Bombyx mori: one gene and its partners. The protein of the gene in region 1 binds, or shares a complex with, the protein of each later gene. Links are inferred from orthologs where the notes say so. Each region holds a gene or a part of one and is shown on either strand. Other genes may lie near its edges. The genes, in order: syntaxin-7, syntaxin-18, vesicle-associated membrane protein 7-like and syntaxin 5A.

Region 1 (6,525 bases):
ATAAAAACATGATTTATGTACAAGGAAAATGTACAACAGTAATTATATAGGTAGTAAGTGAAAAGTTTTAGCTATTTTTCTCATTTGCTTTTTCCTTATACAATCAATTTATTTCATTTTCTAATGTATGTATACGTATATTATATATACTACTAAATTAAGAATTGTGAAATACGATATACTTCTTAGGATTAAAATATAAATAAAATTTAATTTGTAATGTTATTCTAAAGCCAATTTATTGTTAATTAAATTTCACATTGCAAAATAGCACATTCTAGCAAGTTTTTATGGGTTTTGTTTATTTGTGGAGACCACTGTAATATTGTTTCTAGTTCTTTACTACTACGTCTACAACTAAAGTAGTTATATTATATTATATATTATATTATGTACATGAGTATTAAAAGAGTAATTTCCCAAAGTCATTGCCATAATTCATATTAACAATTTCGAAAAATCCATGTTAGAACTATTTCAAACTGTTAAAGAGTACTTTAAAAGAGACCTTAATTTATTTATGGAAGTAAACTAAATATACAGAGCTTAAAATGAATCTATATATTGGTAGCTTAGGAAGTTACATAAAAGAGAAAGCCTTTGCTACCACAACACACAGGACAAACGCCTTCGATTTGATGAGAATCCGATCAAACCCTCCCACTCATATCCTCACACATAAAAACCAATAACAGCCGCCAAACGGATAATCCAACCAAATTATGAAAACCAAACAAAAGAAATAACACAATTTCCTGCAAGCCACAAGTCCTTGCAGGAGAAAAGGAGCACAATCCTCCAACCACATAAGAAAACAATTGCAAAATTTTTAAAACAATTACACAAGATCAAAAGAGATCAGTATAAAGTAGGTTGGAGGAGGCCTTTGCCAACAGCCTATGGATTTACAGAAAGTAAAGAAGCACCAAATATGTGAATAATTTTAATTGTGTTAAATACATAAAAGTGCAGTAGTATAAGAAAGATAATTGTAAATCTGTTGTCTGAACAAAAGGCTTTATTATTTTATATATTGAAATTTATTAAAAGTACTTATGTTAGTTATTAATTATTTAAGATTCTTCATAAATAACTGAATGACAAAATGCAAAAAACCCATAGACACAGCCCACTGAGTTTCTCGCTGGATCTTCTCAGTGGGTCGCGTTTCCGATCCGGTGGTAGATTCTGCGAAGCACTGCTCTTGCTAGGGTCAGTGTTAGCAACTCTCCGGTTGAGCCCCGCGAGCTCACCTACAAACGTTAGGGTGAAGCTGAAATAGCCTCTCAAGGCTATCAGCATAGGTAGAAAAAAAAATGCATAAAGAATTGTTCAAATCAAACTGGCATATGCTGTGCTCTAACATAAGACTTCAAATGCTTTGGTATAAACATAACTATCAAAATGCATTTTTAATGATGAATTTTGTAAATACTAAAATACTATTCTGTTTTTCTTTTTTATTTGATAAGTACACCTCAGTAAATTCCTTTCATTCAAAAATTCTTGCTCACATATTGGCTATTTTCAAGAGGCCTCTCTTTGTGATTTCACCACTGTTCTTTTGTTTAACGTTTTGTATCTTTATTTATTTTATATGATTGGTACACATGTGCATGTGTTATTTTATTTTTATTATTACATATAGCTACATACATAACAATTATGTATGTAGTAAAAGTTCAGATATTGGTGTACAATAAAGCATACTTTACTTTTGATGTAGACTGATTTTTTCTTTGCATATGTTTAAGGACAAACATTATCCTAATTTTAATATATTTTATCTAACTTCATAAAACTTTTTTCTTAATATTTATATTTGTTTACTTACAAATAGCAACTACAGTCAAAATCTGTTATAACGACATCGAAGGGACTGCTCATATTAAGTCGTAAAAACCGATAGTCGTAACAACCGGTGATGTATATAATGTGTATCGTGAAAGTACAAACAAATCGATAGGGAATTATTGGAAAAATATATTTACATAATACGCGATTTTTCTTCAATATTAATTTGTTTTCTTTTTCTTTGCGACATTTTGAAAGTTTCACGAATAACTCCACAAAGTTTTGGTGCGTCTTGTGTATAGATAAGTAACAAACTAACTGAAGCGATATGAAGAAGCGGGCTTTGACTCTACTGCATGCACGTGTTTTGTTTCTAAGAATTAGAAAAGACCCTACACTAAACTAAATCCTATTGTTTTCTTTCCTGATTTTAATAGCCATTGAAGACAAATGTGGATACCTATTCAAATTGTTTACAATACAGCTTAGTCGGTCGTTCTAACAGATCTAATTCTCCGAAATATTAGTTAAATGTGGTCGTTTTATGAGGTATGTCGTTATAAGCAATGTCGTAGAAAGCAATATTTTTAATAAGGCGGTCATATGGCATTCAGCCGGGACCTTTGTTCTTGGTTATTATAACTGGCATGTCGTATTAAACGATGTCGCAGTAAACGGTTTTGACTGTATATGCATTATTCAAGTTAAATAATTTTAAGACACCATTTAGTCAATAAATCTAAACAAAACATTTTTTTTTTTTGGTCAGCAGGAAATCACCAGACTTCCACCATTTTCTGGGGATACTGAGCAGGGTATGTCAGAGTCGAACTGACTAAAACCTCCTGTCGCTCAACAACCAATGTCCAAACCTCGCATGAGACAGAACTCATGACAAGGCAAAGGGGGGAAAGTGAAGCGTTTAGTGCGGAGCACATCTCTCCCATCACCCTCCCCCTCGGGACGCCAGACTGGCGGTCGTCAGTTGTACAAAGTTAATCCTTATTATTATTATTATTACAGATGAATATTGACAGCTCAAATAAAATTGGTATAATAAAGTAAGAGTGGGGCATATAATGATAGCAAGGAGATCACTTGGCGATGAGCGAATTCAACATTTTAGAAAAAAAGCATGATAGAAAGATCCTACGCCAGACTGGCGGTCGTCAGTTGTACAAAGTTAATCCTTATTATTATTATTATTTCAGATGAATATTGACAGCTCAAATAAAATTGGTATAATAAAGTAAGAGTGGGGCATATAATGATAGCAAGGAGATCACTTGGCGATGAGCGAATTCAACATTTTAGAAAAAAAGCATGATAGAAAGATCCTGTCTCTTTTAGCCTCAAAGTAGTCTCAAGTTCCAGAGTGAATGGTGAGACAGCCAACATTATTCAAAACACTTGAGACTCCAGGAGCCTGAAGGTGGCAGCATTCTCAGTGCTATCTATGGGTTTTGTAGTCTAACTTAGAACTTAAAACATTAAATATTGAAACACATGTTAGAAAAACTTTAGTAAGAACGATTCTAATCAGTAAAATTTCTAATTGATTTGATTTTTCCTAGTAATTTTGTATCTCTCTAATATTAGGCTTAGATTCACATACGTTAATCTCACATTTCAGCATTCAAAATAACACTTACCATTTTGGGATATTTTCTTAATATTACTGGCGATAGTTTGAGAAAGTCGTTGAAAGTTATCTCCATTCTCATCGTATGACACACCTCCTTGATAAGACGCCTCCATTTTCACTACGAAATAAACAATAAATAATCGATATACAATGAAAGTAAACGTGAAAATATAGTGTTATTAATCATGTACCTACCCACTATAAATTGAAAGAGATGGTGAGTATGTATAGTTTTATGTTAATTAAAATAATGGTTTGTATTCTTCTTCCCATACACTACAGAGCTATGATAGAAAACAATCAAACGCAGAATATGCTACTCATTTACTACAGATAAGTTTAGAGCTGATCATAGGACTGCAGTTACTGCTTGCTCAAAATTACTCATCAAAAATGACAGTTGACAAAACAGATTGTTGTTTGTTTGATTTGTTCTGTAGAAAGGCAAAGAAAACAGAGCCCATAGATATTTTTTTGTAAAAAGGACGGAAGGCGTGTCTGTTATGTGAAATTTTAAATGGACTGAAATTATATGACATAAGACATCAGAGCAATAGTTGGATAAAATTAAATTAATTAACTCTCAACAACGTGGTGGGCATTTGTAAACAGTTCAATGCATTTTTTTAAAAACCCAATGCAATTATGTTTAATTTTCCCAAAGCTCTCACTGACGTGATTACTGTTTTCAATTTAATTGAACCTATTGGATACTTGAACTTTTTGAAAACTTATTTTATTATTTATTAAATGCTTAAACTGAAAAAAAATTATTACAAAATGTATGCCTTCTCTTTAAGTAACATCAGATCGGTATAGAGATAGTAGGGCTCTCTCTTTCCCACTATATATCATCTTCAGCAAAAAACTGGCTAGGGTACTACTACCGTATTCACGTATCTTCCCTAATCGTTGCAGAATGACATTGACACGTTTTTACTAAGAATCTGCTGGTCGCCAGCACATATTGGCCCATAGACTAGTTCAAAAAATAAAAAGCTCACTGATAGCAGTTAATAGACTCTGATACAATCGCGCATTTAAAGATAGAAAATGCTTCATTGTTGGTATGGCCTTACAAGCTTTTCCATTACATCATATAGTGTAAGAGACTATTGAAGGCTTCGTAAATGGGTCATGCTCTTTTTGTCATGAAATGGAGTGAATGACTTAGAATTACATTAATTTCCCCGCTAAGCCACTTCTGGGTCATTTTTTATCCCATCTAAACTCATCGTCTCACAAGATAGTTCGAAGCAAGCCTTTTAGAAGGCTGGAATGCCATGCTCTAAAAAGTGGATAATGGATGTTTTACAGTATTTTTTTTATATTTTAATTAGTAAAATTTTAAAATCAACTATATTTTAAAAATAAAAATAAAACCATACATATAATGATGAAAACTTTCAAATGAAAATAATAACCTATAACTCCTTTTATCATGAGTGGCGGCTATAAAATCGACCATTAGATCTTGGTAGCACGGTTTCAACCTATTATGAGAAAACTAGAAAAAAGGCGAGATTAAATATAATCTTAACAATACCTAACAAGGTGAAATATAAAAATAACTAACTCTTTTCTTAGCATGATGTTTTAATTAAACCGGCCCTAGATAATGTATTTTTAATCATAAAAACTTTATTTGAAAACTAAAATATTTTGTAATAATTAATGCAAGAAATTGATGATTCAGACCAACTTAATTAACAAAAACCTTATTATGTATTTTTCAGTTTCTTATCTTTTACTGCACATAAACAACAGATTCATTCCAATACGGGTAAATTTATCAGAATAAGTCGAAAATCATTAAATTGTTATGCTAACGAATTCACACACCCCGGATTGTACTAGATTCTATAATGTTGACTTACATTTTACATGGGTAATGTTTTTTAGTCTATGGAAGACTGTTTCACTGTAGTGTACGTACACTGGTACACACTACCTTCACCGACGTATTAGGACTCATCTCTTACCTGTTCCTGTTTAATGTCTCTATTGTCTTCGTGTCCCCGTCTCTGAGAGTCCGTGAATTTTGTATTAAAATTGCTGCCCCAGTGTTTTGTGTGAATGAATCAATAAAGATTGCCTTTAAGCCCCGTCTTTTGAGACAATGAAATACGTAGTTTTTAGATTTTTGAGGGTTTGATTTCTATCACGTATTTAATATAGTATTCTAGCTTTCCAAATATGTCTGGTTGAAATTGAACCCTTAATAACGACATGTTGGGGTACTCTCATTGTCATGAATAACTGTGAATCGAAAAGAATCATAAATTAAGGTAGGTCAATTTTAAAGTGCTTACTACCTACATAAGTTGGGAACAAAACTGTGAAGTAGGTACCTACGCTACTTTTATTGATTTATTGACTATGTTTTTTCTTCTTTGCAGCAGACTGCACAGACGCACTGCAGTTTTGAAATTATGGATCCATCAATATTTCTACCATACGCACCGCCTAACGGGCTTCCACAAGAATCGAAGCTAGTTACATACATGGTAAGACATTGTTTTTTAAATTTTTATTATTATTTTAAGAAAGCGATTTTTTTTAATTGTCATAAATTTTAGAGTCGCTCAACTTCGACGCCCACACGCTCTCTTAACCATGCTATAGGGAAGCTCACTTTGGATTCCTCACCACCAGGTGTTAAGAAGGTAATATTTTCAAATAACATTTTAGGAAAATAAATATTTCTTATGATTAATTCCACCTAACATATATCTTTGACATTTTGAATATTAAGTTGCATCATAATGTCAGAAATACATATCGACGCTTGAAAGGCAAATGTGACTAAGCGACAATGCGTGAATCTTACAGAAGACTAATTTATAGTTGAAATTAATTTAAAATATACCTGAAAAAAATTCTATTTTAACGAATCTAACTGTAGGATTGAAATGATTTTAATAGACCTAGAAATATATTTTTATTGCGCATCGAATATGGTTATTGCCTATCATTTATGTACAAGGCAGTAATTGTCGCTTAGTCACATTTGATTTTCAAGCGTCAATATTATGTGCAGATGTGTATGAACTTGAAGCCTACACTACATTATATAAAAAAAGGTA
Region 2 (6,059 bases), on another chromosome or scaffold:
TTAAACATAACCAGAGAATAAAAATTCGCTATTATAACAGAGTAGTACCACGTGAATATTCGTTTTAATCCATATTTAGTATTTCATCAAAGTATTTAAAAACAGAATCCATACACATGTATGATGTCATTTCATGTTTCTCATGACCTGCAAACAAAGTTTTCTTATATATTTGACACAACACAAATGCAGAGTTTCAGTGGTTTAAGTCAACCTTTACCAATGGTTGCTTCAATGTTACTATTGCAGCACTTAATAGTAAGCTTTTAGCTGAACCAGTGATTAATGCTCAGTGTTACTCATGGACAAAGGCAGTGCAAAGATTTGGATAAGTATGTAATTATAATCTAGAAAATAAGTTCATAGAAGAAAGAATAGCCATAGTCTATTCCCCTTAAAAACACAAATAATTTGATTTTATGAATGCAATATTTATACCTGCTGAAAGTCTGGTTATATCGAAATCAGGAGTTCTGAGAGGTGTATCCAGCGGTGTCTGACTAGATATCCAATTCTTTGTAACCTGTAATATCGAGAAACCAATTAGGAAAAGTTAAATTTCAACTGTGCATGCCTCCAGTTACATTCTTACCTGTTTCAAAAAGTTTGTAAGCTTCTTATTAGAATAGGAATGTACAGAGTCAGTAAAAGCAATGGCCTTTACTCTGTCTTCAAAGTCATTTTGCACCTCTTCTGCCAGAGAAACCGTGACAACCCCACCATAACTATGTGCTACAATGAGTATGGAACTTGCATTCGCATTGGATATGTAGTTCAGCCATGCGTAAAGGGCATGTTCCTCAGCGGTGCTACTGTTGAGAATGGTCTTTCCATCTGCTGTGTGATTGTCATTTGTATTTAGTACCACTACTCCATAGTCTTTGGCCAAAGCCTTCTTGATATACGGAATCTGAGATCCTTTGTCCAACGATTCATTGATTATGAGGCTGTGACAAAAATTACATTTCAGAACAAATATACTGCAGGCCTAATTACGTGACCTACTTTAAAACAAGACATGGGGAAAACAAAAAATATGCATTGATTACGTACATATTAATACATAGATGAATAGAGTATTGCCATTGTGAAAGAAGAACAGAAGGGTAATACCATCATTGTACCAACCAAGGATAATGAACAGAATCAGGAATTGAGCCACCATTATATACATATTTCTATATTAATTTTATGATTCAGTACTAAGAAGAAGTTTCATGTTATATATCCAAAGTTATTAAAGTACTACTCAAAAATGGCTTTGCTTGTCTAAATTCAAAATAACATTTGCATTTTGAATTTTATCTCATCATCAATATTATTTATTTTTAATTTTAAACATACTTGAAACCAAAATTTAGTAATTAAGTCATGATACTAACGATCTAGCCCACTGACCAGCTCGCACAACGCCTGATCCGTGAATCAATATTAACAGAACATCTTTTTTATCATAATCTTTTGAAACAAAAATAAATGTTCCATCATTTGAATCCTTTGGGATTGGTAACTTTTGCAATCCAATCTGAGTCTGAAGAATATCATAAACATAATTGGTGATTGCTGAGCCAAGTTCTTCATAATGAGCTTGGCATTCCTGGTGATCATTGCTCACAACAAATTGGAATGGTTCATCTGTTGGCTGTCCATCAGCTCCAATTTTTCTTACTTGACCATCTGTTTGGTAGTAAAAGCATTAAGTATCATATTATTGTTAATTTAAAAGTGAAACTAGAAAATAGTGTAGCATTTAATATCTACAAGTAATACCCTAACAACATATATTAATTGCCTTGGTATGAACATATGGATCTAATGGAAAGTGGTTATCACCACCCTTAAGCGTTGGCACTAAGAGGGTCTCGTGCATACACTTAACTGTACCTGTTTTCAAGTTATTTCTGAAATTTCTTATTGTTCCTATTCATAAGTGGAGGCACTAATTAAATGATATAAAAAATTTAGAATGTTACTTGAATCAAATATGTATCCCAGTTCCTTCATAGTTTTCGTTCCCTCCATTTTGTAATGCACTTTATTAGCACTAGATGCAATCGACTTTCTGTGAGGTCGCAGTCGTACTTTTGATATCGACGTGCGTACTGCGCGAATTACATTCATGAACTGCAACAGAGAGGGTGGTAAGTACGCATCCTGCAGTATTGATCACCTCAGGGAAACACATTGATATATGTTTTATTACAGCTGAATTTATATGCATCTAGGTCTTGAAACTGAAAAATAAACAATCCCCAGGTCCCGGGGTTGGAACTTGACAGTTTGGACTTTGACGTTTAAATAGATAGTCCAAGAGAAAATAGCACATACAGCCAAGTTAGTCGACTGGTAAAAAACCGAAGTTATATTTGTAACTAAATTAATAAAATAGTGGTATTTTTAAAATAATATAGATGGTACAACGTTAATTAACAGCATTTTCTCATGTTATCAACTAAGATTCATATAAGTTAAAGTTAGTAGCATAAGTATAATAGTTAGTTAGTATATGTATAGTTGTATTTTAAACAACTAAAAAAATGTTTGGCTAAAGTATAGATCGAAACTCTAGCAATAATAGTGTATATTTTATATAACCGATAGTGAAATATTTGCGTATTCACATAAAAAAACATAAGAAGCCTCTGATAAAACGTGTTTATTTAAAGCGAAAATATTAACATCATTGATTCCAAAATTTCAATTAAGATCATTTTATTATCATCAAAACTGTTCCTTTTTTTTGTAAAATTATCATTATTTAGAAAATGAAACACAAAACCACCAGTAACTACTAAATTTAATCATTATACCAATCTAGGAACAGCAAACTGAACGACATGACCAGTAAGAAGAACAGAACATATACTCTTAGGCCTGCGTTTCTTTGTATAGCTTGCTTAATCTGTTCATTGGCATCCTTAACGTTTTCAGTTGCCCCGACAACTGTATTCGATATTCTATCTATGTCTTGTTCTTGTTGTAAAACCTGAAACATATTTACACTTTTTACATTTTATGTCAGACAAACTGTTTGTATATCTCATTATTAAAAGCTACCTGCCTACCGCTACTGTTAATTATACTTTTACAAACAGTAATATCAATTTGAATCTAAATAAATCAATTAAAGTATCATGGATTTGAAAAATTTATTTACATCCAATAGTTTACGTATGAAAGAACATCCAAATATGAATATTTTAAGATCAAGATAGTTATGATATGTATGTACCAGTATGTGCAATTTTATAAAGATATAATACACAGACTATAATAAACAACATTCATCCTCTCTGGTGGCAGATATTCTTAACCGCTACTGTTAATTATACTTTTACAAACAGTAATATCAATTTGAATCTAAATAAATCAATTAAAGTATCATGGATTTGAAAAATTTATTTACATCCAATAGTTTACGTATGAAAGAACATCCAAATATGAATATTTTAAGATCAAGATAGTTATGATATGTATGTACCAGTATGTGCAATTTTATAAAGATATAATACACAGACTATAATAAACAACATTCATCCTCTCTGGTGGCAGATATTCTTTTCTTGTAATCTGTTTTTTTTTTTAAATGGCTTATGTATTTATTCAATTTTAACCTTTTACCTTTTCAGTAAATATTTCTTGAAGTTCTGCAATGTGTAGTACTTTGCTTTCAATTTGTTTAACTTCTTCCGTCATACTGTTTAGTTCATTTAACAGCTGTACATTCTCCGACTCAAACATTTGCAACTCTTCTGAAGTCAACTCTCCTTCATCAGACATAATTGCCATCTCATTCTCTGATAAGTCTAATTTTGTTTTTGTATTTTCTTTTTCATCTTCTGTCTCATTCTCTTTTTCTATTACCTTATCTAGTGTAAACGGATTAGGAATACTAGATTTGGTCGCTGGTAGCTCAAGTCTAGACAATTTTCTCATATCTAAAGCTCGCTTAACTCTCATTGCTTTCAATTCACTATGCACTTTACAAACAGCTTTTAAATAAGCATCAATTAAATCTACGACTGAGTCCATATATTCCCTAGTTTGTGGGGTCACTGTAGTTCTTCGATTATCATTCCTGAACTCTTTTAGCAGGTGTGAGCATGTGTTCATGATACGTTGCGCACCGGTGTCTATTTGGTCGCGCTCTTCATCAGACATATCGTCTCCAGTAACATTATTGAAGAAGCTTAAATATTTATCGCGGTGTTCCAATAAAAAGTCCCTAAGCTTTGTAATTTGTGAACAAATATCCTTAGCTGTTGCCATGAAAGCATTTTTTGATTTCACCCTCAATATGCGTTGCTTATCTTCGCTAATCGGACTGTGTATGCCGAAAGCCTTGTTACGAGTTTTAACAGTTTTTATGCAAGCCTTAAATAATGGTGTTATATCCATTTTAAGAGGATTTGTTTATGTTTTAAATGTTTTTTCCTTCAATAACACGTAAGTTTTACTCGTTTTTGACAAATTGAATTGACAAATCAATAATGTCCTCACAGAGTAGACACTAACCAAATTCTCTTTTTAAAATTATCCAATTGAAAAGGCAAAGTAAGCATGGCTTTAAGTAGTAATAAATATTTTAATAGTAATAAATATTTTAATCTGTGATGGCTACATGGACTTTTTGGCGGGAACACGTGGAGTGAAGTTGTGTGATTTGTTTTATTTTGTCTATTTAGTGTTTCTTCATGTTAGAACTGGTCTTCTTGCCATCCAACCATCTAACCATCATAAGTTTATTAAGAAGAATAGTTGTTGCCTAGCATTAATTAGTTAGTCGTATAATTTTATGTGAAAAAATAAAAAGTCAGTATGTACATCCGAAGAAAGTTATCAGGTCATAAAATCCCTTAAAAAAATTATTATACACAATCTGATCTGAAGTCTTTTGCTCGTAAATTTACAGTAGCCGAAAGCATTTCAGATCGAATGGAGACGGAAGAGAGACAGAAATAAATGTTACACCACTCTATAAAGCTTCTGTCGCTTATACAGGGTGCCCTAAAAAATAGTGTCAAGCCGAAGTCCAGAGGTAGAACATCACTAGGGCTATCCGAACCACCCCCATGTACGTTCCGCGATTTTTAATAGTTTTCGAGTTATGATTTTTTAAATATATTTTTTTATTTCTATGTTAAGGCACTTTTTTGCTCACTGTGGCGAGAATAGATAAGGTACATGCCTGATATTTGAACACTTGCTTTTTTTTAAAACTCGGTTTCAAAGTTTAGAAAAAATACACAATTTTTAACTTTTTTGTTTCTTTTTTTTATTAGGTTTCACATTTGTGTTATAATGTATGACATATCAGCTATGAGAGCTTCGCTCAGAGCGTGGTGCAGCAGACACGATCAAATTTAGGTCTGTTAGAGAACTGTCTAAGCATGAAGATGCTTAGACAGTTCTCAGTTCAGTTGGGTGAATTGAATTTAATTCAGTTCAACTGTTGGAGTTTGAATATAAATGTAATGGCAGGCAGCACTTGACGCATGATTACAGATTTCGAATATTAGAATTATTTTAAACGTTTAAAAAACAGATGATTGTATTCTCGTAAGAAAAAGTCAATACTTCTAATCTAGACACGGTCAAAGAAACATGTAAGAAGTTTTATAAAAATATAAAGATAATAATTTTAAAATGGTGTTCAAACTATCTGCAATATAATTATAATGAAGCAGTGTGTTTTTAAATAGCCCTCCATCACCTACAGAACCCAATCACCTCAAATTTAACCATCCAACATCAACCCATTGAAGACAGAGATTTAAAAGATATATATACAAAGGCAATAAAAAAAAAAGATCCACTAACGGTGCTTTTAAGTAACCCAAGCACCGGTCATCATTCTTGGTGAACCCGACGCTCGCGACGAAGGGCTCGGCGAGTAAATTAACCCACAGACACAGCCCACTGAGTTTCTCGCCGGATCTTCTCAGTGGGTCGCGTTTTCGATCCCGTGGTAGATTCTGCGAAGCACGGCTCTTGCCAGGGTTCGTGTTAGCAACGTCTTCAGGTTTGAGCCCCGTGAGCTTAGGTGAGCTAGCCTGGTG
Region 3 (6,381 bases), on another chromosome or scaffold:
TTCTGCACAGCAGATATATTGCGGTGTACTATTAACAACACATTATTAAAGAAAATACATCCATACAATAAATATATATGTATAACGTGTAACCGTTACAGAATATGAAATTATGAAACATGACACAAAACATATGACATATTTTATTTACAAAAACAACTTTAAAAATACACCCTGCCGCTTATTGACGTAAATATCTATTTGTAAAAAGGAATCAAAACGAAATTACATACGAAGTTCATAACTGAATGTTATATAGAAGATTATTTATTTAATTTTACTAAATAAATTCAAGCATACGTTTCGGAACGAAAACAACTCAATGAGACCGCGAAAGTAAATTATCTTAATGTCGTCAATTTCTCCTTAATTCGAATGAGTTTTATTTTTGGATACGTATAGTGATCTAATGAATGTAAATACTATAATTACTGTGGCCGTGACACAAGATATCGGCCCGAAAACGTAAACAGAAGATCCCACAATAATCATAAATATTCCTATGAAAATAAAATTGAAACGTTGTTTATCTTGTACAGATATAGATATTTGTTCTGGAGCTCTACCCACGTACGAAATCGTCTGTAACAAAATAGTATGTGTTATTTATATAATACAATATTACTATAAACTTGTGTGCTGTCGCTTAAATAAACTCGCATGCCATAGTTGATCGATTCACTTTACTGATGGTATGACCTCTTGAGAGTCCGTACGAGTAGATACCACCACACTGCCTATTTCTGCCGTGAAGCAGTAATGCGTTTCGGTATGAAGGGTGGGGCAGCCGTTGTAACTATACTGAGACCTTAGAACTTAAATCTCAAGGTGGGTGGCGCATTTACGTTGTAGATGTCTATAGGCTCTAGTAACCACTTAACACCAGGTGGGCTATGAGCTCGTCCACCCATCTAAGCAATAAAAAAATAAAAAACTTGATTTGGTAATAGATTTTGTTTATACGAGTCATCTATTATCAAAGGTGGCAATCTGTGCATTTGGACAAAAAAATGTTATTGATATGTCAATACAGATTGATTTGAATATAATCGTCTCCTTCAAAGAATACGGTTCAAAACCTGCTTAAATAAAGGTTAATACTTAACCTGTTATTTATCTAAGATGTCGTGCAGAAGAGTTTTGTGACTGCCAATGGAATACAAAGTCAATAATTCGTTTTTCTGATTTACCAATAATTGTCCAAAAGTCACATTGCCGGCTTTGATAATAGTCGACTCATACATACTATTTAATAGGTATTCTGTGAATTTTTTTCCATTTAAAATGTTGAAACTGATAGTCTTTTTTTCCGCCGCATTCATACATCCGGCAGAGACATTTATAACGAGCGAAACTAAATAAAATCAAAATTAAAGGCAACCCCGTATTTCTCCCGCGGAGCAGTAAGGATCCCCGTTTGAAGGGTGGTCCTTGTTATACTGTAGAACAGAGTTAGAAATCATGTCTCGAGACAATGGCATTTACGTTATTCATGCTTATGAGAGAAATAGCTAATGACTATATTTTGTAGGCTTAATGTCTTATGTAAACTTACACTGTACGATAAACTATCGATGCTATCAACTAAAAGCATTTTCTCGCCGAGAATTGTTTCTGAAAAGAAAAAAAAACTAATTTAAAATTAAATGTAGTTTAAGAACCCGTACGTTCAATTACAAACCGTACCAACAAATAATTTTATCTTTATTTTGTACCTTTTTTGAATACCGGTCAGGATTTCAGAGCGATTAGAGCAATTAAAATTATTGTTTAGCTAACGGTCCTTCATTCGTGTACAAACTTTCTGATTAGTGGTCGGTACGTCTTAAAATCGATGCAAATCACATTATAAAGAAGACATACAAACATACATACGTATAATTGGAATTTAATTGTTATTATAAAAAAAATATAGACACATTTTTTAGATATTGCTGCTTTCATCGACCTCGCCATGTTGCCATTTTGTTTTATTATTATTTCTCTCTTTCTTACAAATTTCTCTCACTCACACCTTAACACTCCGTTCCACGCTCTTTCCATACGTTCCGTTCTCAACCATCCTACATATTTACCAAACTATTTAATAAATAACTAAAAATTTATTGACACATTTTTTACACATCGCTCACTTCATCGTCCTCGCGGTCTTGCTTTTTTTATTATTATTTCTCTCTATTTCTCACAAATTTCTCTCACTCACACCTTAACACTCCGTTCCACGCTCTTTCCATAGGTTCCGTTCTTAACCATCCTACATATTTACAAAGCTGTTTAATAAAAAATGTTTAAAAAAACTTACCACTCCTTTCAACGCTGATCCTGTTCAATTCATCCAGTTCGCCATTTCTTATAACTATAGTACTGTAATCTTCATTGTATCGGTACATTTCCTCTGCCAGTATATGTTCGAAATTTTTTACGTATTCAGCAAATCGTCTCTGGATTTGATTTAAGAATAAAAATGCCCTTGATCTCTGACAGCTCTGTTAAGAAAATACATTTGATTTGAAGACTATAGAAAAAATATTTACATAATTCTGACTTAAGCTAACATAAGGGAACTTTATGCGAATAACGACGTGTGCTTCTCTCATATTTAACAGAAAATCTTTACACAATCTTGCACATACAGAAATATGTAAATAAAGTTTCTTCAATTTTCAACTGACGTATATGTTTAGTTTCAATATTCAACCTATTTAATAAGTGGCAATCGTTCGTCCAAATTTTCTCTGTGCTATGTGTTCAGAAGATATATGGGACAACAATAAGTGCACCAGATCGAATAACTAATATCTTTAAGAAATTTATTGACGAGAACGAAATAAAAAAAAAACAAGTTTTAAACACCGGCCACAATAAAAATGAGATATTTTCGTTTTATACTATTCGTTTTTTTTTCTACCTATTCTAGTAACCTCGAGGGGCTATTCTAGATTCAGTAAGTGAGCTCACGGGGCTCAACCGGAAGTGTTGCTAACACTGGCCCTAGCAAGAGCAGTGCTTCGCAGAATCTACCACCGGATCGGAAACGCGACCCACTGAGAAGATCCGGCGAGAAACTCAGTGGGCTGTGTCTGTGGGTTAATTTACTCGTCGAGCCCTTCGTCGCAAGCGACGGGTTCGGCGAGGACGGTGACCGGTGCTTGAGGTACCTAAAAGCACCGTTAATGGATCGGGAGGATCCGTAATGACGTGTTTTGAGCAATTCGAATGTATTGGACGACATTATCAATGAACTTTCAGAACAATATTTATATTCTATTTTTTCATGTATGTTTTTTAACTTGTAAGAAGTCCTTTTCAAACGAAATCGTAACTTACCTTTTCTGTAATACAAAGAAATATATTTTTCTTGTGAACAACATAGTGAATCAAATATTTTCCGTGAAGGTACGTCATCTTGTGATCATGTACCGGTATTTTTGAGACCATTCGTTCGGATATCTCCACGAAGTTACCATCGCAGGTTGCGAATTTCGAAACGACTCGTTTATCACACGCTATCACACTGAATAATATAGGCATTATAAATATGACTACAAATTATTATCACTGTTCACACCATTTGACGCTTTCACTATTATTATCAGTTTCAATAATTTTTTTGAAGAATATTGTTTAACTGCTGCATTACAAGAGTACAAACCGCAACTATACGATGTGGCGTCCTCTCGATCCGCCCACGGTTTAAAGATTTTGAATGTCCAAACGCAATGCGTTAAGGATGTCATTCGTTTTTTGACGGAAATAAAACAGATCTAGTCACATTAGCCAGTGTTCTCTGTATTTTGTTTAACCGATGCGATATCAAGACTCTGGTAACCTTTTGTTACCAAATGGACCGACGTGTGCGCAAAAATGTTCATTATAAAACAGATTTGTTTAATCTGTGCATGCATTATTCTTCAAATTTAATTCAACAAAATATTCATTGGTTTTGTTTAAAGAAAAAACCCAGTAATACAAGACTTGTATTTGTTTGTGTCTAAAAATATAAGAGGAATTATCTTAAAAACTGAAAATTTGGTCTTGTTGCTATGACAAGAGTCCGCGATATCTATATATTAATACGTGAAGCAAAAACTTTGTATCCCTTTTTACGAAAATTGCGCGGACGGAGGAGTATGAAATTTTCCACACTTATAGAGAATATAGAGAAGAAGTGCACAATGCTAATATTTTTTTAAAATAATGCATAAAAGATACATTAAATCAATAAAGAAAACATTACACACACTACATACCATGTATTTGACGCACACACGCATGCATACTATTTATTGTCCAACTTTTGTTCTTGACCTCTGTTGTCAGATTGAGAATAGATTAAATATTGTTAGTCTTTGTTAATATTTTTTATAGTGTAGTCTTGGCGAAATTTGTGACTATAGAAGTATAAAATACAATAATAATAGTGTACAAACTTACAATTCCAATTAATTATAGTCGAATTTCGACTACTGCGGGACCTCTAGTATTAATAAAATCACTTGCTTACAGTAAGTCGGTTAAGTGTAGTATATTCTATGCCAATAAGACAATAACTGTGGCCAACATTTAGTATGCTGCTGCCAGATGTTGATAGAATTAGGGGACGCGATACTAAATCTACTTATGAAGGAAAAATGTTTCCTTTATTAAAAATAATGGAATGAAATCTTCCTCGAAGCAACATATACTACAACAACGCGAACAATAAAACACACATTAATAATTTATTAAGCTAAGCTTATCTACATTGGCGGATTTTTTAATTTATAACATTCTTTCGTGACATTCGTATACCAAAAACAACTGAAAAAAAATCAAAATAATCATGTTATTATGAATCACCAGTATCACTTTTGTTTTTCATCTTCAAGAACAAACAAACACCTCCTTTTTACCATAAGGATATGGATTGTTACCGATATTTTTACATACCTACTTGATGCTTGTGGGTTACAGAAAAAAAAAAACGAGAAAATCGAACGTTTGACAACCCTGCATTGAAAAATTCAGTATCGCACAAATATCACACGATCGTTCTAAAATAAATTTCCGTGTCGGCCGAAGCTAAAATCGTTTCGTGCTCGCTAAAACTGTCACCGTACATAAATTGATCAGTTTTAAGAGACATGTGCAGACAAGCGTGCCACGCATGTGCTCAACTTGCTTCTTTGAGATAATTGAATATTATTTGCCTACGTACTCATACACTCCGAATTTTGAGCCAGGACGGAAATTTATCACCGTCCTGCCCAGTTTCACCGTGAAGTAAACCGTTCGTGTTTGAAGAATGAGACGGCCGTTTAACAAAACAACTCGTCCGGCAGTAAAGTGTAATAAAAACCATGAATTGCAACGAGTAATTTTGGTATTAATTCTAATAGGACGATAATCGGAAGGAATGGAGTGGTTTGAAAAAAAAATTGTTTAAACTACCATTGTCACAGTATAGGTATATTATAACAATACCTACATTTCTTTTTCTACAGATTCGCTCGCTGCGTATTTTGTCTCAAACATTTATCGCATACCGTATCCTCTACAAGGTAAACGCCTTCCGTCTTGAGACATAGATTGAATACGTTTGCAATCTAACATATACTACCACAAACTATTTTTTGCCGATTTACTTATCATCACTTTTTTTTTCTACCTATGCTGATAGCCTTAAGAGGCTATTTCAGCTTCGCCCTAACATGTAGGTGAGCTCACGGGGCTCAAACCGGAAGTGTTGCTAACACTGGCCCTAGCAAGAGCAGTGCTTCGCACAATCGGCTCGGAAACGCGACCCACTGTGAAGATCCGGCGAGAAACTCAGTGGGCTGTGTCTATGGGTTAATTCGCTCGTCGAGTCCTTATCGTCACCAGTTTCATATTGCGTATAGATAACATTGGTTCGACATTATGTCAAAACCTGTTTCGGGATTAACTTAAAATGTGTTTGCTGCTGGTTGGCAAAGTGAAGAAAATAGACAAACAGATATTTCTTAGATCTTTTTAATGTACTAAATCACGTGTTTGTTGCAATATATTTGTTGTGTTGAAACAGCCCGACTCATGAATCGATCTTCAACCATCATTACTCCATGATAACGCGAGACCTCATACAGCACGAGAAACCGTTTTAACTCTACAGGAACTGCAATTAGAAACCATTCGTCACCCTCCGTATTCGCCCAGACCTTGCTCCAACGGACTACAATTTTTTTCGTAATTTGGACAATTTTCTACGTGATAAAAAGTTATTCTAATATATATAAATAAATAAAGTTATTCCTATTAGATGCAGCAATGTATAGATAATAATGGTAGATATTTTGATTAAATATTTTAACCCCTAATATTAACAGACCGACGCACTGAACCCCAGTTTTGTATGTATTGTTT
Region 4 (6,620 bases), on another chromosome or scaffold:
TATGTAGGAACAAATTACCTGTTTAAATTGATTACTCATTGAAGCAAGGCGTGACTGTAATGCGAGTACAACACTAGATGAATGACTGTGCATACTGCGACGACCTCTTGGCATTTCACCTAGTCTGGCAATTTGTTGATTTAAAGAATTTAAGTCTCCTTTAATAATATAAGTTAGTTCTTGAATTTCTGTGGGACGGTCATCAAATAATGATTTCCTCTTAGCCACTGCAACACAATTATTAAACATTTCAAGTAAATTTTCCTATAAGAACTGTAAAATAATCTGATTACAAAGGGATGTTGTTTAATTAATTTGTCATAAATTGTAAACTAAGATTAACTTAGTGGTAAATGACTGTTATCATATTCTTGATATATTCATTTTTTATATTTTATATATATTGAGGAGTGAAAGGCTGTTTGGTTTAAAAGACGTTTCGCTCAATACACTACATTTATCTCAGTAATTAACGTTTTTATTTGATATTACCATCAACAGTTCGATGTTTTCACTTGAATTTCACATGATTGGTTGAACTTCAATTAATTTTACTTCATTCATTTAGGTAGCTGAAGAAGTTATTTTGTTATTTTTTTTCACAATATTAATTTTGAATTTCATGATTTGATATACAGTAACATACATAAAATATAAATCTTGTAGGGCAATTTTTGTTTGTATTGGTATCATTACCTCTATGACCTAACTTCATTTTAGAGAACAATTTCTTTGTACCTAGTTTATAGCAAATGTAGCGTTTCTTTTACATCTTATTAAAAAAAAATGTTTATTTAACATTTTATAAAAGCAATAAATGAAAAGAATATAACACTTCATATTGGACTTATGCCTGAATCATTTAAAATACTTACACAAGGCTAACTTTTCCAATTTGGTATATGTACTAGTAATATTCTTACTAATTACTTTTGCCATACTCATGAATTGGGAGTAAGTTTCCAACACAGCAGCTTTTCTATCATCTCTTACGGTTGGTTTGTTTAAGAAACGTCCTTGGAGACTGCGTACAGTTGAAATGAATTCACTTGTTCTATCTCTTGAAGCCATAACTGGTTCAAAAACAAATTCTTCTAAAAATTTAAACACGTCCTGGTCAGATGATTTAAGAATCAATGTTGATTTGGAATTTGATGAGTTCTCGTAAGGCCGCGATTCCCCGTAATGAACACCTTTCTTATCTAATTTATTGTATGAATCCGTTTCTGTTTCCAAGAGTCTTTCTGTAACGCCTATATTTCGCCTTCGAGGAAGCATCGCATTGTAGTCTTCAGTCTTCACCTATAAAGTTTTACAGAAAAAACGTTGTCAACTTTGTTTGATAAGTAAATTACATTAAGTCAAACAGTACTGTTACACCACACATATGCTTTACTTGTTAATGATTGGGGATATTTTGTTTGAAAATGAAAACTTACAATTTACATAATTGAGGCAGTATTTCACAATTTTACATTCCAATACTTACTTAGAAAACCAATAGCGTTCAAATAATTACGTACTTTCATAGTACATTCATGTGTGTACAATATTTATCATTTCATCTCATCGATTCTTTTCAAAACTCGATGATATATCTATCTTTTAAATTATCAAGTCCCACTATTCCATTTTTTAGATAAGGTATGTAGGTACCTACCCACAATCCTTTATTTTTAATCACTCGATAGATTCCAGACACGTAGTCATAGATAATACACTTAACACGTAGGGGTAGTCATAGACTATTCTGGCTTAGTTTGTCCATTACTCACTCTGTCACTCACATGCGCACGAATACGCAAACCCGCAAGTGTAGGACGACATTTGCGAATGATTATGCAAAGTTTTCGCTGCATTCGTGGTTTTCCAAGCTGTGTCGGTTTTTTAACAGACATCAAAGCGCGCGAACCTCGAACCTTCGCGTAGTCTCCCACACATTCGCTTGCCCAGTTGCGCCGACGATTGCGAAGGTAACGCCGTTTTCATAGTTCGTGACGTCTACTGTGTAGCGTATCTTCATCAAAAGAAATCCCATAAAAACAGCATGGCTGTTAATCATGTCTGGGAAAGAATTCAAAAATCTTTTTCTTTTCAATGTTCTATTGACGAATTAAAAAGGAGGAGAAATTCGTGAGACATTCGTAAACAAGTGTAGGAGGAAGCGCAAACGGGTTCGCAAATTGAGTATGCGAACCCATTTGCACAGCCGCTAGGTTTGCGAATGAATGTTTGACGGCCCTTTACATGCGCGCAAACATTCGTACAATGTACGAATATTTGCGCGCATGTCAGTGGCCGGCATTAATACAATTAATTTTTTTTTTATCTCAGATCTACTTTTTTTACTCTTTGGGTTACAGTCCTGTTTCATTTTCATCTTTTTATGGATTTTAGTTTCTCTTCATGCCAACAAATTGTTGCCGTAAAAATTCTATAGAAATAAAATAATAATTTCATCTGTCATTTGAAACATATTCAACAAAATTTTCACAATACAAACATCTGGAACAGCCATTTCAATGTAATCTCAAAAAGCATATTAATTTAACTGTTGTACCACTTCGTTAGAATTGATGTGGGTATACCTAGTTGTTTGTCTTAGCAATTTTTGGCAGACTAATGACAATGTGTTTATGTTTCTATAGAGAAGGTCGATCTCTTCACTTCCAACTATTTAAATTAAATGACGAAGAAGTGACACCAACGAACATGTGTGTGTGTATCAAAAGATTATATCGTGTGATGATCAATGGGTCGTTTTTAAATTTGGGGCCAAAAGCGAGTTATTTAATTCTCATAATAACCTTAATGTTACCGTAATTATATGTTCAGTAAATTTGTTGTCATAACAGGCGCGTGGTCCTATAACTATACACCACTATTTTTAAATTAGTACAAAAAAATTAACTGGGCTCTAAGTATCTTTAACTAATCATATTATATGGTAGTTAAAAATAAAAAAAACACGAAGTCTCAGAACTGTCCATAAAAATACGTAATAATTGGTAAATGCTAAATAACTAAATCAATGACCGAAAGTACGTGCGGCAGGGTTTTAGTATCTACGGGGCGCTGCTCCATTGATAAATTCCAGGAAACTCAAGTCAACTCAACTCAACAATAACGACAAAAACCTAAACACTACTAAATTGTTAGCGGAAGTGTGCGCATGCTTTTTTTCGTTGCAACAGTTGTTTGTTTAAGTTTTCCCTGATGCGATGGCTTATCAGTTCACATCACGGGAGTATGTAGCTATGCTTCGTGGGTACTTTTTGAGTGGAGAAAATGCGAGTGCAGCTGTACGTATGTACAGGGAAGAATACCCGAACGCGAGTGCAGCTGTACGTATGTACAGGGAAGAGTACCCGAACGCCCGACAGCCAAATGTGCGAACCGTGGTAAATGCTTACCAGCATTTGCTTGATCACGGTTCATTCCACGCACCGTCACATAGTCAAGAACGAGGAAGACTGGCGTTGTGACAAAATCTGTACGACGATGTACTAGCGTATTTTGAAGAGGATCCCCGACGGAGTACAAATGACACTGCTCGACGGTTTAACAACAGCCAGTCCTGTGCCTGGAAGATTGTTAATAAGGCCGGATTATATCCATATCACTACAGGAAATCTCAGGAATTAACCACCGTTGATTATGTAGCGAGGATTTCATTTTGCATCAGGATACTGAACAATACCGAAGCAAATGTATTATTTTCTGCATTGGGCCTGTAGCTTGGCCTCCACGCTCACCTGACCTCACGCCCATGGACTTCTTTTGTGGAGTGAAATTAAGAGATGTGTGTACAGAAGCGAGCCGGTTAGGCTCGCACAATTAAAACAGCGCATATTGGACGCTTTTGACGAAGTGAAAAGACATAGAAGCGCACTTCTCTCGTTAAAAACGAGTTAATGAAACTTGCCCGTCAATGTATTGACAATGGTGGTGGACATGTCGAAGGACAATTGAATATACAAGTATTCATGATGAGATGATATGGGATGAAATATAATCTCAGTAAAATGGTGGTTATTTACTGAAATTTTTTTAGTGGACTTTTTGGAGGATCCCGATAAGTTACGTCCAGCGGCTTTGTTTCATTTTACCACATTTGTGCACTTTCACAGATATTAAACAGTTAATAAACCACCGTTATTACACATTTAAACCTGAAGAAACACTAAATAGACAAAATAAAACAAATCACACAACTTCACTCCTCACGTTCCCCCCAAAAAGTCGCTGTCATTTTTTTTTCTCTTTTTTTAGGTATTTTATGACCTGGTAGCTAAGACTTTTAAGTCATGTCTTATTTTAATTTATACTCTTATTTTTATGAAAAATTATGAAATGAAATGAAGATGATTAATTTGAGACATTAATCAACTGGGATGAAATCAAATGAAATGAAATGAGATGATATGGGATGAAATATAATCTCAGTAAATTGGTGGTCATTTACTGAGACTTTTTCGTTGGACTTTTTGGAGGATCCCGAGAAGTGACGTCCGGCGGCTTTGTTTCATTTTCCCACATTTGTGCACTTTCACAGATACTAAACAGTTAATAAACCACCATTATTACACATTTAAACCTGAAGAAACACCAAATAGACAAAATAAAACAAATCACACAACTTCACTCCTCCGTTCCCGCCAAAAAGTCGCTGTCATTTTTGTTTTTTTTTTTAATTTTATGACGTGGTGACAGAGACCTTTAGGTCATATCTTATTTGGAAAATGTTCATTAGTTTGGGGCTGTCATTTATAGTTCACTTTTATCATAGATTATCATAGACCTATATAGTAGGGACACGACATATTGTACTATACGTACAATTGCTTATATAAATAGCACCCATTTTGAAGGCACACACATAAACATATATCTATCTCGTTCTTACTCAGCACTTTAACTCGCAGGAAAATAATATAACAGTATTTCAGTGCGTACATAAAATGAAACATGAATATACGTAAATGTCTAATGAGGCCGAAAATCCGCCATGTTGAGCGCTCCAAATGTCATTGTCACGTCAGTTCGGCCGTCTGTTTTGGGTTGCGATTTAATATGATTGCTTATATAAAATTTCATATTTTATCATGCTTAAAACATACAAAAATAATAATTAAAACGTATTTTATAGGATCTCAAGAAAGTCGATGCCCCAAAACTATTATCTATATATATTTAAATTCATTACGGAGCCCTCATCCGAAAAATCATTTTTCGGTCGGAATCTATTGATCATGACACTAATTATAAATACCTCTTTAAAATATGTCATCAAAACATATTATTGACATTCTGTTTAGATATTTCGGGAAAAAGGCTACCGACAAAATCTCTTCGGAACTATTTAAATAAAATAGTTTTATGCCGCAGTGAATAAAACACTATTGTAAATTCGGTAAATATTTAATAATTAAGTGATTTTAGAGAGGAAGTCACAAGGAATGACGTTTGTAATTAATGAATAAATGTTCTGTATAGTGGGATTTTTTATTAGACGAAGTAAACTGACGTTTACTGTGTTGTCAGGTTTTGATGAAATAAAAATAGTGTTGTGACAAAGTGAACGATTGAAAAAACTCCTGAATTAATGAAATTGCCTCGATTGTCTAATGAATAGTAGGTGTGCCGAATTGCCGATATCGGGTACGGGGTTCGTATTTTATGCGTGCTTTGTACATACCAACGAGTTTTCGACGAAATATTATGTTCCTATAGTATCTACCTGTACTGAATACCGAGTGTTTTAAACATTATGAAAAACATTGCGAGGAAGCTTGTAAAACTGTCCTATTTCCAATACATCAGATAGTTGAAATTATAGATGTATAAAATATAACAATTATAGGTATGTAACGAAAATAAAAAAAAGTGTGTGTGTCCGCTCCGACGCACGACTGGAGTTTACTGGATATAAATATAAATTTGTGTCAGTTGAATACAGTAAAATATGGAAGTTACGTATTCTAGTGAGAATGATCCGGGAGTTGCGGAACACGTGGATGCGGTAATTAAGTAAGTCTATATAATTCACTTTTACAATTAATATATAAGTTGTCCATTCACTGATAGAAGGAATTGTTTATATTTAATAAGCTTTATTAATAAATGATTTGTAGCGGGTTATATTCGGGTATCAACCCACTAACAGTTGATACGTTCAGGAATCGAACCCGAACGGCGTCCGGCCACAAGCAAAACGATGTCGGTAAATTAAACGAAACAATACGAGAAATAGTTCTATATTACGACAACACGATACACTACAGATTATTAACAAATTAACGAGACACAAAACAAACGACTAACAAATATATGAAAATACAATAATGAGAGAAACGCGCGATCAGTACGAGGCTTTGTGGCGGACTGCCGGCGCAGCAGCCCGGCGTCACCTGCGATAACGCGGCCGCGCGTTGGCTCCTGATTGGCCAATCAGGAGCCAATCAGGCGCATAACGCATTTCGTGTGACATGCTATACTCTCTAGTACGATTTTGGTCCCCATAATTTTCATACCCCGGGCCTATATATGTAAATCGATTCTTAAGGAGTAAACTCCAAAATACTGATTGTAGTTACATACTACTAGTAACATATATTGGA

Evidence for each region.
Region 2: syntaxin-7 (region 1) and syntaxin-18 share a complex: the UniProt entries of both Homo sapiens proteins name them as parts of the SNARE complex. The link is inferred for Bombyx mori from reciprocal best matches to the Homo sapiens genes STX7 and STX18.
Region 3: syntaxin-7 (region 1) and vesicle-associated membrane protein 7-like share a complex: the UniProt entries of both Homo sapiens proteins name them as parts of the SNARE complex. The link is inferred for Bombyx mori from reciprocal best matches to the Homo sapiens genes STX7 and VAMP7.
Region 4: syntaxin-7 (region 1) and syntaxin 5A share a complex: the UniProt entries of both Homo sapiens proteins name them as parts of the SNARE complex. The link is inferred for Bombyx mori from reciprocal best matches to the Homo sapiens genes STX7 and STX5.

What each region holds. Positions count from the first base shown.
Region 1 is NC_085107.1:5,737,797-5,744,321, reverse strand, and holds the start of syntaxin-7, read right to left. Parts: upstream 3,836-6,525; 5' UTR 3,635-3,835; intron 3,558-3,634; 5' UTR 3,553-3,557; coding exon 3,447-3,552; intron 1-3,446. Other genes in the region: PAN2-PAN3 deadenylation complex subunit PAN3, read left to right, coding at 5,872-5,946, 6,019-6,105. UniProt on the Homo sapiens protein: May be involved in protein trafficking from the plasma membrane to the early endosome (EE) as well as in homotypic fusion of endocytic organelles. Mediates the endocytic trafficking from early endosomes to late endosomes and lysosomes.
Region 2 is NC_085127.1:13,547,655-13,553,713, forward strand, and holds syntaxin-18, read right to left. Parts: upstream 4,539-6,059; 5' UTR 4,399-4,538; coding exon 3,622-4,398; intron 2,987-3,621; coding exon 2,798-2,986; 3' UTR 2,780-2,797; downstream 1-2,779. Other genes in the region: cotranscriptional regulator FAM172A homolog, read right to left, coding at 65-147, 439-523, 593-947, 1,383-1,677, 1,974-2,124, 2,204-2,221. UniProt on the Homo sapiens protein: Syntaxin that may be involved in targeting and fusion of Golgi-derived retrograde transport vesicles with the ER.
Region 3 is NC_085119.1:6,314,301-6,320,681, forward strand, and holds the start of vesicle-associated membrane protein 7-like, read right to left. Parts: upstream 3,722-6,381; 5' UTR 3,532-3,721; coding exon 3,328-3,531; intron 2,487-3,327; coding exon 2,303-2,486; intron 1,615-2,302; coding exon 1,556-1,614; intron 583-1,555; coding exon 367-582; 3' UTR 1-366. UniProt on the Homo sapiens protein: Involved in the targeting and/or fusion of transport vesicles to their target membrane during transport of proteins from the early endosome to the lysosome. Required for heterotypic fusion of late endosomes with lysosomes and homotypic lysosomal fusion.
Region 4 is NC_085118.1:10,687,261-10,693,880, forward strand, and holds the start of syntaxin 5A, read right to left. Parts: upstream 4,240-6,620; 5' UTR 3,439-4,239; coding exon 3,414-3,438; intron 2,065-3,413; coding exon 1,913-2,064; intron 1,742-1,912; exon of another isoform or gene 1,530-1,741; coding exon of another isoform or gene 1,524-1,529; exon of another isoform or gene 1,490-1,523; intron 1,303-1,489; coding exon 876-1,302; intron 228-875; coding exon 19-227; intron 1-18. UniProt on the Homo sapiens protein: Mediates endoplasmic reticulum to Golgi transport.